Schizosaccharomyces pombe: one gene and its partners. The gene in region 1 interacts genetically with each later gene. Each region holds a gene or a part of one and is shown on either strand. Other genes may lie near its edges.

Region 1 (3,501 bases):
AACACAAAGCACTCAAATGATTGACGTTAGCATTCAGCCTAACGAGAATGAAAGCAGCTGCAATTGCTAGTGTATCTCATTGAACATGTCAGTGTACTCTAACTGTTTCGTGAATTATTTTTTTTCGCTTCAGGCCGCAATCAGCGGTTTTTAATGTCATTTGACCCTCAAAAAGTATACTGTGAGTATATATATATCTTCTTATAGCCCCTAAATCTTTTGCACCTTTAAAGAATCGCGATTCCTTTTATACCTGTTTCCTTTTCCTTCTTTTTTTACTTGTTTTAGTCCTTTTTTATTTTAATCCTGTCTCTATGATATATGCTTTACAAAAGTGAGAAGTTGAATTTCTGAATAAGTCTCTTTCGTTTAATCCCTGCGGTGCTTCTTGACTTTTCAAGGGCATTTGCAAAGAAGGAAAAAAATTACAATGTATGATTTTGGAATTCAGAGAAATGTTATTATTTTTTTTTTTTTAGATTTCGCTTTTTCCCTTTACTCATAAGTTATTTATGCTATGTGAGTCAGTTCAAGGTTTTCATTGAAACAGTAGAACTTTATTTATACTTCAATTTTTTAATTTTATTAAAAGATATGAGGTTTTTTGCCAAAAAAAATTGAATGAACCAAAAAAAAGTTAGCGGATATAACCTCTAGGCCTGCTTTGAATTTATGTTAAGATATTTGTTTATATCAAACTCTGAAAGACTCGGTAACGTCTCACATTGAGAATCAACAATCTCATTCAGCTGATCCCCTACCAAGTTTTTGATGGCAGCATCTGGAACCCAAATGACATGCATTCCTGCAGCCTTTGCACTTTTGACACCGGGAATACTGTCTTCAAAGGCAATGCATTGGCTTGGTGTAAGTGCCTTCAAACCTCGCTGCTTCCTACTTTCATTTATTAAATTCAACACCTTCAGCCAAATGTCTGGAAAAGGTTTGCCACGACCAGGTGCAATACTAGGATTATCACCTGTAATAACATTTTTACCAAATTTCTCAAAAATATGTTTAAGATGGGCTGTCTTCATATTATAATTTGCGGTATTAGAGGAAGTAGCAAGCTGGTGATGCTGTTAGCACACTTTTATTATAGCGTAGGGATGAGTACATACCCCGATATCAATTCCATGATTGGAGAGGTTATTAATCAAAGATTCAGCCCCAGGCATAGGCTTCAAAGACGACCAAAACTTTGCCTTTCAGAAAGTTAGTTGAAATGGAAATAAATGTAGCGTATAAGTACGTACCCGAATAACCTGTTGTTCATCAACGAATTGTTGAGGAGTCATAGGAATGTTGGACCAATCTATAACAACCTTGGCAGCTGCGGAACCCGGTCTCCCTACGTATCGCAAGTTAGACCTGCAATTTTGAAAGCATTTTAAAATATCTCTTCGCTAGCTTTATATAACATACCCATCATTTGAGCCTTAACAGAAATAGGAAGAGGATCCTTGCCATACCTGTCCAATATAAGATCTATAAAAAAAATAAAGATTAGAAAACATTGTAGTTTTGTGCTAAATATAAGCACAGATATATTATTTACATACTGGTCGTCTTTGTATAAATAGTTTCACTGTCGACAAGTAGACCCTGTAAAAAGAGTGATTGTTAATGCAAAAGCTTTCATAAGAGGTAATGTGGTGTGAAAAATAAACATACATCCATATCGAATAGACAAGCCATGTATTTTACGTGTTTAGCAGCCATTTCTAGGTAAAAAGATAGTGAAGCTTCTACGACCTAACAAAACCAAAGAAAAAAAAAAGCAGAAAAAAAACTTCCGGGATATCCAAAAAATCAAGTTTCAAAAAAGTATATTGCTGTATAACCAATAAAAAAGTATAAAATCTTCCAAAACAAGAATTAACAATTAAATATACAAATACAATTAAAGAAAACAAAGACACCGACAAATGAAGTGTTAACTGTATATCTAATTAAAAAAATCCGCGAAAAACCAAAAAATAAGGACAGTTGTTAAAGATCAACAAAGAAACGTCGATACAGTAAGGCGTGATAATTAGGCAGAATGAAAAATAGCTAAATCCCAAAACTGTGCAAACTGCAATAAGTAATCAACAATCGTAGATTAGAGTAAATCCGTGTGTCGGATGATTGGGAGCAATATTGAAGAGTTCGTTAATCTGTTTTAGTGAGAATTCAACCGCACTACTGAAAGAGAATTAAGCGTTTATATTAACCATGAAATTGTAATCCGGTTTTAATGATGCCTTAAGCTGTGGTGAATTTTCCTTGTAATTTACTTATCTATATCGCGGTACCCAGGTAGTGTAAGTTAGCGATTGTTTTGGGATATTTTTCTATGAAGGTGATGAATATTTTGACACTGAGATCGTTCATTTCCAAATTGAATAATACTGGTTCTGTTAGGCTCTCATTATATATCAATGAATAATATCCAGCTGACTATAAGCAATGATGAACCTATCCTGTATCATTTATGTACAGTGAATAGAGAAATAAAACATTTGACATATTGCGATGTATAACAGAATTGAACATAGCGAACAGCTCACGCATTATTCTCGAATCAAGCAGGCAATGATTCGCCCAGGAATCTCATACTAAAACATTGTATAAACAGAAGTTGAGGGAAAAGGAAAAGTCTCAATGACCAGCCATTCTCCCTCATGAAGTATGCTATGTTGAATTTTTTTTGTTTTAATTACTCTCTTTGGTTTTTAAAGCGTTTCTGATAAAGCCACTTGGATTCTGTTCATAAAATGGTGACTAATCAGTTAGCTATTGGAACCCATTTTGGCCATGTATTTTGAAAAGAAGAGCTGGTCAGACAAAATTTACAAGTACAATAGCGACGCACGTTAGCCATGTCGTAGAATCGTGTCAACTATAATGTGAAATTGTTGGACCGAGTGTAGAAAAACAGTCAAAGTTTGTTTTAACCAAGGTCACAAGTACCTCACTGTTAGGCGAGTTGGAGGATCTTTGCCGGATGACGAAAAATATGGATATTTAACACAGCAATAAATAACAAATGCAGATTGCCGTGAGGACAGAAAACAAAGATAAAACATTTTTGAAAGTCTCCTCATGCGGCTCCGGTTACATGGGAATTTGTAGGATTTTGTAATGAGTGCGTCGAGCAAAGCAGTTGAAACGAGTGGATTGTTGAAAGAAGCCAAGTGTAAATAAAAAAAAGGGTAAATACAAAAAAATATCACAAGATTCTATAAAGTATCATAAGACTACTGTCTATATTTTTAGTTAAACTGTTTTCATATTTTTTATTATCTATTTTCTTTATTTTCTCTTTATTTAGTTACAGCCTATTAATTTTTTTTTGAAAATTTAATTTACTTAGGCCCAACAATATGGCTTAACTAGAGCTTCAGCCAAACAAAGAATACAAACACAGAATTGCTTACAAATCGAGTGCATTGCATACATCATAAATAAAAAAGCAATGAAATTCTTTTCAGTTTCTTTTCCAATTTACTTCACAAC
Region 2 (3,565 bases), on another chromosome or scaffold:
GTGAGCCAAACGAAAATAATACTTCTAAGTCTGCTCGACTTTAAATACCCATAACACTTTGCAAACTTGCATCGCTCATGCTAGTTTTACTTACTTCATTCGTTGAAAGTGGCTATTTACCATTTTGGGCACTATTTGTTTCTTTTTTTTAGTTTTTATTTATTATTCTATGAAATGTTTAAACGTATATTGTATCTCAACAGCAAATTTTTGTATTAATATTAGCTATGCCTTGTAAAGTTTCGTAAAAGTTATGCAAATGATTTACGAATAATCTTAAACTAAAACTAGTATAATGCTTTTTTCACGTAAACAATGACTCACCGTCGTAAATTTAGACGTTTCAAGTGCGAATGAACGTTAATAATTGTTCAAAGGTTTCGTTTTTATAATAATTATTTCGTTTTCATAATCGTAATTTTTCACGAAAAAGTGTTTGTGTTTTAGAATGCCAACGAAATTCTCGTAGCGAAACTTCGAGTTTGTTTTAAACATTCAGGAAACAAATAATGATTAAAAAACAAAAAAAAAAAAAACGGAAGGTAAATTTCTATAACTAAGCAAAGATAACTGCAACGATGCGTACTGTTATTAGCAATTATTTTTCGTAGGTGAAGAAGGTAAATTGGAAATTTGAATGCGAGTTTCAACGGCCAAATCATCAGCTTGGTTTTGTGCCTCCATGTCCGGACACATTGAAAACTTGTCATCAGCAGGACTGCATGCCCCTAAGGGTATCGATTGAGGCGATTTAAAGTTTTCAATACCAACCAAGTCTAGCATCCAAGAAAAAGCAGCGCCAAAAAAGCCGAATTCGAAAAGATCTAATATACTGTAAAATATGGCTTCTCCAATTGGCGAGATAACATTGAGGCCCTCAGATAAAATCCAACATGCATAATAGAGGAACCAAATGACATGTAAGTAAACAATTGACCATAAAAACCCTAGGCGCGCAGACGTCTCTAAACGGCTAGCATACTTTTTATGCAAAACGACTGAGTGTGCCAATGCAATAAAATAGCCTACAAACGAAAATCCGTAATAGGCCCATTTATAGGGAGATGAAGTTAATGCTGCCGCCAGTAAGCAAACAATCGCAAAAAGCACATAGCAAACGACATATGCAATTTCTAGTATAGATACGCCTACCGTCCAATGTAGCATTACGATGATTAATGGGAAATTGATTAACCATTGAATATAGCGAACATAGTAAACCATTCGTACACTAACTTCTCGAAAAAAAGAAGCAGAAGAAAACACATTTTTCAATCCATAATTGCAGGCCATGGTAAAGTAGGCCAAGCAAGAAACCAAACTGAGGATGGAAAAGAAACGGTGGTAAGTCTGCTTTTGAGGCAAACTGAATATCGATACTAAAGGAAAGACAATTGCGCACAGCAGGAACACTGCAAAAACAGCCCAATAGTAGTTTGAGCTTATCTTTTGCAAAGCGACTTCCGGAAGCTCTTTCAGTACCATTCCGGAGGAAGATAATTTCGCATTCATGATGCGTAAACAGGATAGAGGCTGGATTAAAAGATATAGAAACAACTCTTATATTCTTAAAGGTAGCGATACTAGTTGAGTTGAAAAGTCAAAACTTTGTAATAATGGGTAGCTGAGACACGGTGAAGGTGGCTCTGAGAAAAGTCGATTAAAAAGCCATGTTTGTAAACAAACAAACTTCAACATGTAAACAAACAATGATGTTACTCTTTCCCATTAAAAGGCATTTTAATTGACTCTAATTGAGAAAACGCAAAAGAACATTACAGCCAGCAATGTCAAATTTTTCACTTTTTCTTACTTACCGATGACAGCAAAACAGGTAAAGTCGCACGTTACAGAAGAAGTCCGAAGTTGAGAAACAAAAAGGTATAATAAAAAAATAAAATTCCAACCTGTAGAAAATAGTTTATGTACAAAAATTAAGAATTTCGACATTGTTGGAAGTAAAGGTGGATACATCATATAAACATTACAATCCTTCTCTTTTTCTTAAATACAAATAAGCTCATCAAAATATATACATATGGATAGCAGAGTGGAAAATCTTTGTAACGAATGTGTATGTCAAAACGATTAGAACGAAGAGTTTTTTAAAAATGGAAAACATATGAGTATAGGTAACTATTAAAGAATTCGCCTAGGAAATACTTACATCACGCCCCAAAAAGCTATTAAAAAAATAAAACCGAGTTTTCACAGATGTTTTAAAACACACCTAAAAGGTAGGATTGAAATTAGAAGCGTTTAGGGCTCCAATATCGGATGCTTGTACTCGGATAAGTTGTTTAAAGTGAAGCAAAAGTCTGGGTATAATTTATATACACAAATAGGAATTCAAAAGTTCTAATTCATCAAAAAAGCATTAAGCATACAAATAAAGCATGGCATGAGGAGAAAACTTCAAGAAACATGAGTCATATTGTAAAATAAGAAGTTAAAATATGTTAAATGGTTACTTTAATTCTTGGCAGCAACACCAAAGCGCTCAGCACGCTTCCTAGCTTTTTCTGCCTCTATAGGGTCGTCCAAAATATTACTCTTCCGCTTGGATGGAGCACTTTTAGGAGGCGCATTCTTATTTCTTTGTTTAGAACGTGAGTTGGAACGATTTTGAGGGTTCTTAGATTGATTATGGTTTTTGTTATTACTTGACGCTAAAGGTTGTTGAATGCCAAAACGTGCAGCACGAGCAGCTTTCTTAATTTGTTCATCGTCCACAGGAATGCCAAATCGTTTAGCCCTTTGGATGAGTTTTTCTTGCTCTTTAGCTACATCTGGGCTAGAGACTTCATTAGATACACTTTGTTTGGATTCCTCTGTGGTTTCTTGATGCTCTTCAGCACCAGTGGAAGTTTCAGGAGCTTGTGAAGTCTCTTTCGAAATAATGCTTTCATTTTCCTTTTCAATCTCTACAGCAGCGGCAGGAGCACTGGTCTCTTTACTTTCGGGTTCTGCTGGCTTGTTAACGTCAGTTGAAATAGTATCATTCTCCATGTCTCCCCAATCAATATCATCCTCGGGAGGAGCAAGATCTCCTAGATCTGTAGCGTTGTTATTCGAAGTATTTTCATCGTTACTCTCGGTCGCTGCTGTCAATCGGCTTACCAATTCAGCTTTGTTTCCAGCAGTGGAGAGGCCTTTCTCCGCAAGTTTTTCACGCAGTTCTGCAACTTTAAGACTCTTGTAATCTGACATTATGAATATAGACGTATATGCGCGTCAAAATAACACGTTTATTGAATTCGGGATATACGCAGTTGACAAGGGTGAATATGTACGAACCAGCCAACTTTAGTGAGACATGTTGGATGCGCAAATGAAGCGTAGTGAATTGGAGTGATGATTGTGTCAAACATAGTGGTGCTATTTTGCGTATCGCTATGTAATGTTTACTGTGCTATGGTGAGGAGATGGTTCAAAGAAAATGTCTATAAACGATGTTGGGATATACTTTCTCCCTTTTATATGAAATGTACGAATCAAAATCAGTAATCAGTTAGATTATTTAATATTTATTTTTTACTTTAATTAATCGTAATTTTGAATTGGC
Region 3 (7,117 bases), 3.5 Mb from region 1:
GGCTTTATGCAGTTTGCTCTCTTAAGACTATATCGCAATGTATCCTTGACGAAAAGGAATTATCGAGCTGAAGCAGCAATCGTTAATTAGTTATATCGCGTAGCAGTGAATTAGCTAACGCAGTTGAGAAAAATAAATTGCAATGAGTTTTATTAATAATTATTGTAATTTGATATAAAGTATGTCTCCAAAGATAATCAGTGTTATTTTAATAGTAATAAACAATTTTGTTTAACTATAATTGAATATGATGCTAAAAGAACTTACGTTTCATAGTTCAAATAGTCCTGTTCATTTTTATTAAAAAAAAAAAGATAACTTAATAACAACGAGTGTATATTCGTAGCACAAACGTATGTTCATTCTATAGTTATAGTTATAAATTAACATCGCATTTAATAGCCCAGTAACATCGCTGATATCAATGAAAAACAAAGACAATATGTTTTAATCCAATACCCAGAATGAGAAATGCGACCTTTCTTGCTATATTAATTTCTAATATTTACATAGGTTTGTATTTAAAAAAGTGGTTATAATTAATACAACAGTACAATGTTAAATTAAGTATAAGTTTCCTGTAATTCGGACTCTAAGTGTTTGCACAATCTAACCAGTGAAAACCAACTAATGCTTCGTGCTTTGCTTTAATAACAGATGAATAATTGAACAGTATTGAGCGAAGGGGTACTTCAGGATTAACCATACATCACTGTCACCAATAAGTAGTACAGTATTGCCGTTTATTCTGTTTAAACCTGACCTATCAGCATCATTCTCTAAAATCAATTTTTTCATGTTCATGAATCCTCTGTGGTGAGCCGCTTTAAAGCCATTTTAAGACAATCTTTAATTTCTGCGGCATCAACTTGTTCTCCGCCGCTGCTAGCTTCAGTAGTGCGATTGATATTACCAACTAGCGGTACATCCAAACCTAGTTTGTCAAGCTGCTCATGTTTGGTCAATGAAAGATTTAAAATATGACCTTCAACAGTATCTTCCACAATGTAGTAGTAAACAAACGTCGGACGAGTTTGCCCAATTCGATGAACGCGTGAAATTGCTTGCATTTCAATTCCACTATTTAGTAATGGTTCACCTGTCAATGTTAAAACTTGTTAATACAGATATCGACGTACACATGAAAACGTGAGTGGCATTTGTTAACGTCAAACCAGATCTAATGAAGATTAGAACAAATAATTAAACAGTTTAAACATACGATTGCGATCTTGCATGTAAAGTAAGTACTTGTAAGCTACGTTCTTCTTTAAACCTTTTTAGGCAAGTGTTCTTTGACTTTCCATCAAAACGTATGAAGACGATACCATTCGCTTCAAATGACTTGTGCAAAACATCCAAAACATCAAGCCATTGAGAGAATACAACAACTTTAGGATAAAGTTCGTTATGTTTCAAATACTAAAGTTAGATCCACTCTAAATACAAATGTTGCTTACCAAAAGATGTTTAGATATTGTGTCAATTTTTGATCCAAATGACTCCTTTAACTCCATATTAGAAATTTGCCTGTATGCTTCATCGTCGAGAATTTCAAGCCTTTCGTCTCGTTTGTTGAAACCAGTGACAAACTCTTGACGAGAGTATATATCCCTACTTTCGCCAATATAGTAAGCATTATTTTTGTTCAATTTGGTTTTGCACATTGGACACGACGAACTATGCTTCAACCACGCTTCCAAACAAAAACTACAGTACAAATGGCCTAACAAGTTAACTAGATAAACGATCCAACAAATACTTACCACAAGTTGTTATAAAACCTTGCTTAATTATATCACGACAAATTATACAAATCTGATGAGATTCAGCTTTAAGGACAATATGTTCATATAGGTTTGTTAAATACCTTCTCCTTGATTCGAAGTGAGCAATTTTACGTTGGGTATTGCTTTTTTCCTCTTCTAGCTCTCGCAGCAGATGGATATGTCCAGGTATATTCATTTCGGATATTTTTTGATTGACGAGTTCTGCTACGTTTGTTGTTTGACTTGCTTCGTCCTGCTTTTCTGAAATTTCTTTTTCCAAAATCACCGAAGCTTTAATTATAACAGAGTTCAAAAATTTTTGTTTTTTTTCGTCGTCTTTAACGTAATTGTTTAAACTGATATTTGAAACGGGAGGAGGCATCAAAGAGTCAGAAATTTCCTGCAGCTGTTTATAGTACTCAATCCTTGAATTATAAGTCAACTGAATTATACTCAATTCTTTTTCCAATTTTTGGCAAATTCTAGATTGCTCCTTTGCCATTGCATCAATCCGTTCATATTCTTCCATGTTTTTAGAAGTTTCAAAACTTGAGGTGGATCTATTTGATGCATCTAACAGTCTTGAAACTATATTTATTAATGATCCGTATTGATCTGCTTTTGGCCTTGCTTCTTCCCTTTCCTCAAAGTAAAGCAAATATTTTTTATCACGTTCTTCAGCCTGCTTGTCTAACGATTTCTCCGATTTTTTTATACTCTCTATAAGTTTGTATTTCTCAAGTTCTGTTTCATGAGACACAAAGGTATTAATAGTACCGCTGACTGCCGCTACTCGATCTGAAAGCATTTGACGGTAAACATCAATACAATAGGATATCTCTGATTGCGCATTCAATGATTCTTCGTATTCATCGCCGGTCGGATCCGATTCTTGATCCAGAAGTGGAAGTTTCATCAAATGGATAAGCCGATCTCTAAATTTTATAAGCACCTCCTTTTGATCATTCAACTCTTTATAAAGTCTATTATAGTCTTCAATTATACCATGTCCGGTTATGAGACCTTTTGCGTAAGATTTCTGTAATCGTGGTATTTTGACAAGTTTCTTTGGAATAAATTTTTCTGAAAACTCTTCAAGGTGCTTGCTGGTTTTGATAATCACATCACTCATAATCTTCCTTCTTAAATCCTGCGCGAGCAAATAAAATTCATTTTCAAACTTTTCGTTTTTTAAAGAAAAATAAGCGCTTGCTATAAAAAAGTATATTTTATGCAATAGAACATACCAAACACGCAGATGAATGAAATGATCCAAACCAAAATAATTAATCGGTAAATTTTTACCATGGTCCTCATATTTAGAGTTGTAAATAACATTTTCTAATTCTTTGACAGCGAGCTCGACAGGTATTCTGACTTCAGACCAAATAGCCAATGCTTTATTATAGTCTTTAATATGATCATATATTTGACCAACAATAATCTTATCGGAATAAAGCTTCCTGTTTAACGAGGAGAATGTAGAGTTTGTTTGTTCCAACATAAAAACTAATACATCATTAATGCTTTTCATGGGTCCACCTCCAAATGCGGATTTGTTACCAAATCCAACCTGCGGATGGCAACATGCCTGTCGTAAACGAACCAACCAACGCCTCATAGATTCTTCGTCACACAAATCCAAATTTCTGTCTTTGAAAAAGTGCAAAGACTTGGCCGCCTCTGATAATAAATCCTGGTAGTTCGTTTCTTCTACTACACTAAGTCTTGTAGTCATGCAGATTCGATGTTGAGGAGGTAATTTTAATTCTTCTTCAACGTCCTGTTTAGAATGTCTGCATACAAGGGAGCCAAACAGATCGCAAAATTCACGAACACGTTTCTTCTCTATAATTTGCATCCAAGCTTGTTTTTTGTATAAATACATAGGGGAGTAGCGAAGAAGAAATAAAAGGCCAAAAAGGTCATCAACTTCACTACGTACGGGAGTTCCACTTACAGTCCAACAATTGACACGAGGTATGCGATAAATCATTTGTGCGACATTACTCTGTGAAGTTTCAACCATCTGAGCTTCATCAACACAAATTCTCCACCAACATACATCAATCAATGGAGACTTTGGAGAAACATGTCGCTTTTCATGTCTTAAGGTCCTGGAATGAGATTCAGTGTACAATAGCTCAAACCGTAAATCAGAATAAGATGTTACCACTATATCACAATCCAAAAAAATTTTAGCTGATTTCAAACCATTGGATTTTCGGATTCCTTGGTAATGGAATACTTTCAATGATGGCACATGCAAATCTATCTCAGATAACCATTGATCGAGAATTGTAGAAGGCGTAATTATTAGGGTGGCCTTGGAATACTTTACATTTTTTCCGACGACCTGATCGAAAGTACAAGTATCAGTCAAAGAAATTGGCAACTGATGATGCAAAACTAATCCTAAGACTTCCAAAGTTTTTCCCATGCCCATTTCATCGGCTAAAATGCCTCCACGTATATCACCGGACGCAAGCAAATATGTTTTTTCTTTCGAAAATGTCATATAGCCGTAAACATGATTAACGTAAACCATTCGATCATCAAAAAGACTTTTGCAATGGTACCATAGAGGTGGTAAATCATTTGAGGTTAGGAATTTCTCTTCTTCTCTTCGTTTCATCCATTCTAAAACACGCATTTGAAATGGTAAAAGTTCCGAAGAAAGCCTTGGATCGCGTGATACATTGGCGAAACGTAGGCTTTTTGCCAATTTTCTTGCACAATCGTAAAATAGTGCAGTGTTAATATCTAAACAAGAATATTCCTCATCTTCAGACGGAAGGAACGTATAGTCTAGTAAAGCAGTGTATGAGGAAGATGATCCAGATGAAAGAATCGCATCTTGAGGGGCAAGAAAAGAGTCGAGTATGGAAATGCCAAACGACAAAATTAACTCGGATCCTTTTACAGTAACATAAGATGTGTATTTTATAATTTTCTTCAGCCGCCTATTATCCTCCCAAAGCTTACTCCAAATTTTGAGAGGTGCTTTTAAAGCAGAGTAAGTATCCTTATTCAAGTCGACAGAAAACAAAGGAATCAAGTTTTTGGCCAATGAAATTTTTCTTTGAGTAAAACTATATGCATGTAGTTTCTCAGATCCATCAACCCAAAAAACGACAGGATAAATAGTAGACTTTAGCCGATTTAACTCGTCCTCTGGTCCACGCCATATCTGCTGGTCTAGCTTGAGTTGGTGCTGGAATGCACGGTAGCAATTGGCGAAATCACTTTCCAAAAGGTTGTTTCTTTCATTTAGTAAGGAAGCCTCCTTCTCTATTTTTCGCCTCTTAGTTCGGTCCATAATGTTCCCTCTCTTAATTAAATACAGTCGTGTTTTGAACCAATAGACTTAAAAATTTTAGAATGAATAGAATTCTTTAATGTACAAAGAAATAAACGAAAATATATAAACCCTCAAGAACACAAAAGGGTAGGCATTGTGTTATGTGCTTTTGTTCTTAGTTGTGGGCAAAAAGTGTCTTGATTAAAACATGTGCCACTTTTTTTTTGCTAAAGCTTGCAGAGTCGAATATTACTTTGGTATTTTTTCCCCACCTTTCTTCCCTCTTTTTTTTTTTGGTTTAAAAGTACGACAAGGTAAATATCGATAAATCGTTTGTAAGGGAATTCTATTATTCACGGTTGAATCAGTACAAACACGAATTAGAACTCAAAATTACCTAAGAAATAACATCTACGTTAATTAGTAAGTAAATTGTAAATACTATTAAAATTACCGATACACTTAATATCTCATTTGCTGGCTAAAAGAAAGAGCCCTTTTTACTCGGTATTGTACAAACACACTATTCCTTATTGCTAAAACACTGTGCTCATCCTTTAAGTATATATCGATTACCAAGTTTAATTCAATTAGCAAAAAAATATAAATTCTAAATAAAACGTAAACTGGTAGGAAAGTTTTTAAAAGTGATGTCACCTTCACTGGACAAAGATTATTGTTATTGTCATAAACTAAAGTACAAAATATAAACTAAAGATTGTATACATATTAAAGAAATATCCTAGTTTGAAGGATTCTTGTCGTCGCAAATATTGTTAAACCAAACTGCGTTTACCGTATTACATTGCAATTCGATTTGTTAGACTATTATGTCAATAAGACAAACGCTAAACTAAGGTTAATTCTACTAGTGTGTAATATTTTTTTATGTACGCACACATTGCAAAATTGAACTTACCCTTAACCAACAACACGATTGGGAATTAGCAGAAAACAGTGACAAGTGGGTAAGAAAAAGAATCTGGAAGGATAAACGCTCTTTTTGCGCGACCACCAAAAGTATATAAAAGTGCAAATTTCCGTCTACGTCTCCTATTTAAGACAATCTCTCGAATAAGGACTTTTTGATCAACAGCAGATTTCAAATCATTGATTGATTTGAAATAGTAAAATTATTGTAAAGCGAGCAGTTGACAAACAAAACGTTTGTTTAGCTTGTATCCGAAGAAAAATTATTCAACGATTCAATTTAGTGATCTCGGAATTTCTAGAAGAGAAAAAGCTTACTTACACGATGCCTGCTATTATGGAAAAGAATATGCTCGTCAGCGAGTCGTTGCGTACGACGGAATTACTTGGCCATGTTAAACCAATTGACTCAGTGGTGACATGGTCTTCGCCTGGATCGTCTCGCCAGGCGATTGGTGAGGCGTTTAAAAACACGATTGAGGAAATTGAGCGTGCAGCTGTCCGTGGTGAACCCGCTGACTCTGATGCATTTTTTGTTGCTGATTTGAACGGAGTATATCGCCAACTTCTTCGTTGGCATGCTAAATTACCTCGTGTTCAACCATTTTATGCAGTCAAATGTAATCCTGATCCTAAGGTACTTGCATTGCTTAATAAATTTGGAACTGGTTTTGACTGTGCTTCTAAGGGTGAACTCGAACAAATTCTTGGCTTAGGTGTATCCCCTGATCGAATTGTATACGCCAATCCTTGTAAAGCCATAACTTATGTGCGCTATGCTGCTTCTAAAGGCATTAATCTGATGACTTTTGATAATGCCGATGAGCTGTACAAGGTGAAACAACATCATCCCAACTCACGTCTTCTTCTTCGTATTTCTACCGATGATTCCAATAGTCTTTGCCGTCTCAGTCTAAAGTTTGGTGCTTCTCTCGATGATACTGGTAAGCTGCTAGACATCGCAAAGTCCCTGGAGTTAAATGTCGTCGGTGTTAGCTTTCACGTTGGGTCAGGAAGCTATGATCCCTCAGCATTTTTGGATGCTATCCAACGATCTCGTCAGGTATTTGATCAGGGACTTGAAAGGGGATTTAATTTTGACTTGTTGGACATTGGT

What was found.
Region 2: mutations in pud1 (region 1) and mug73 together harm fitness less than expected from each alone (positive genetic interaction), as found in Schizosaccharomyces pombe (one large-scale study listed by BioGRID).
Region 3: mutations in pud1 (region 1) and irc20 together harm fitness less than expected from each alone (positive genetic interaction), as found in Schizosaccharomyces pombe (one large-scale study listed by BioGRID).

What each region holds. Positions count from the first base shown.
Region 1 is NC_003424.3:1,190,766-1,194,266, reverse strand, and holds pud1 (pseudouridine-5'-phosphatase Pud1), read right to left. Parts: upstream 1,767-3,501; 5' UTR 1,723-1,766; coding exon 1,675-1,722; intron 1,606-1,674; coding exon 1,563-1,605; exon of another isoform or gene 1,489-1,562; coding exon 1,426-1,488; exon of another isoform or gene 1,352-1,425; coding exon 1,257-1,351; exon of another isoform or gene 1,206-1,256; coding exon 1,122-1,205; exon of another isoform or gene 1,071-1,121; coding exon 654-1,070; 3' UTR 511-653; downstream 1-510. Other genes in the region: Rab family GTPase Ryh1, read left to right, coding at 1-70.
Region 2 is NC_003421.2:623,016-626,580, forward strand, and holds mug73 (transporter mug73), read right to left. Parts: upstream 1,513-3,565; coding exon 592-1,512; 3' UTR 501-591; downstream 1-500. Other genes in the region: msy1 (MS ion channel protein 1), read left to right, coding at 1-44; RNA-binding protein mlo1, read right to left, coding at 2,473-3,210. UniProt on the Schizosaccharomyces pombe protein: Has a role in meiosis.
Region 3 is NC_003424.3:4,657,227-4,664,343, reverse strand, and holds irc20 (ATP-dependent DNA helicase), read right to left. Parts: upstream 5,248-7,117; 5' UTR 5,089-5,247; coding exon 1,767-5,088; intron 1,748-1,766; exon of another isoform or gene 1,727-1,747; coding exon 1,461-1,726; intron 1,423-1,460; coding exon 1,223-1,422; intron 1,181-1,222; coding exon 1,140-1,180; intron 1,100-1,139; coding exon 801-1,099; 3' UTR 501-800; downstream 1-500. Other genes in the region: ornithine decarboxylase Spe1, read left to right, coding at 6,326-7,117.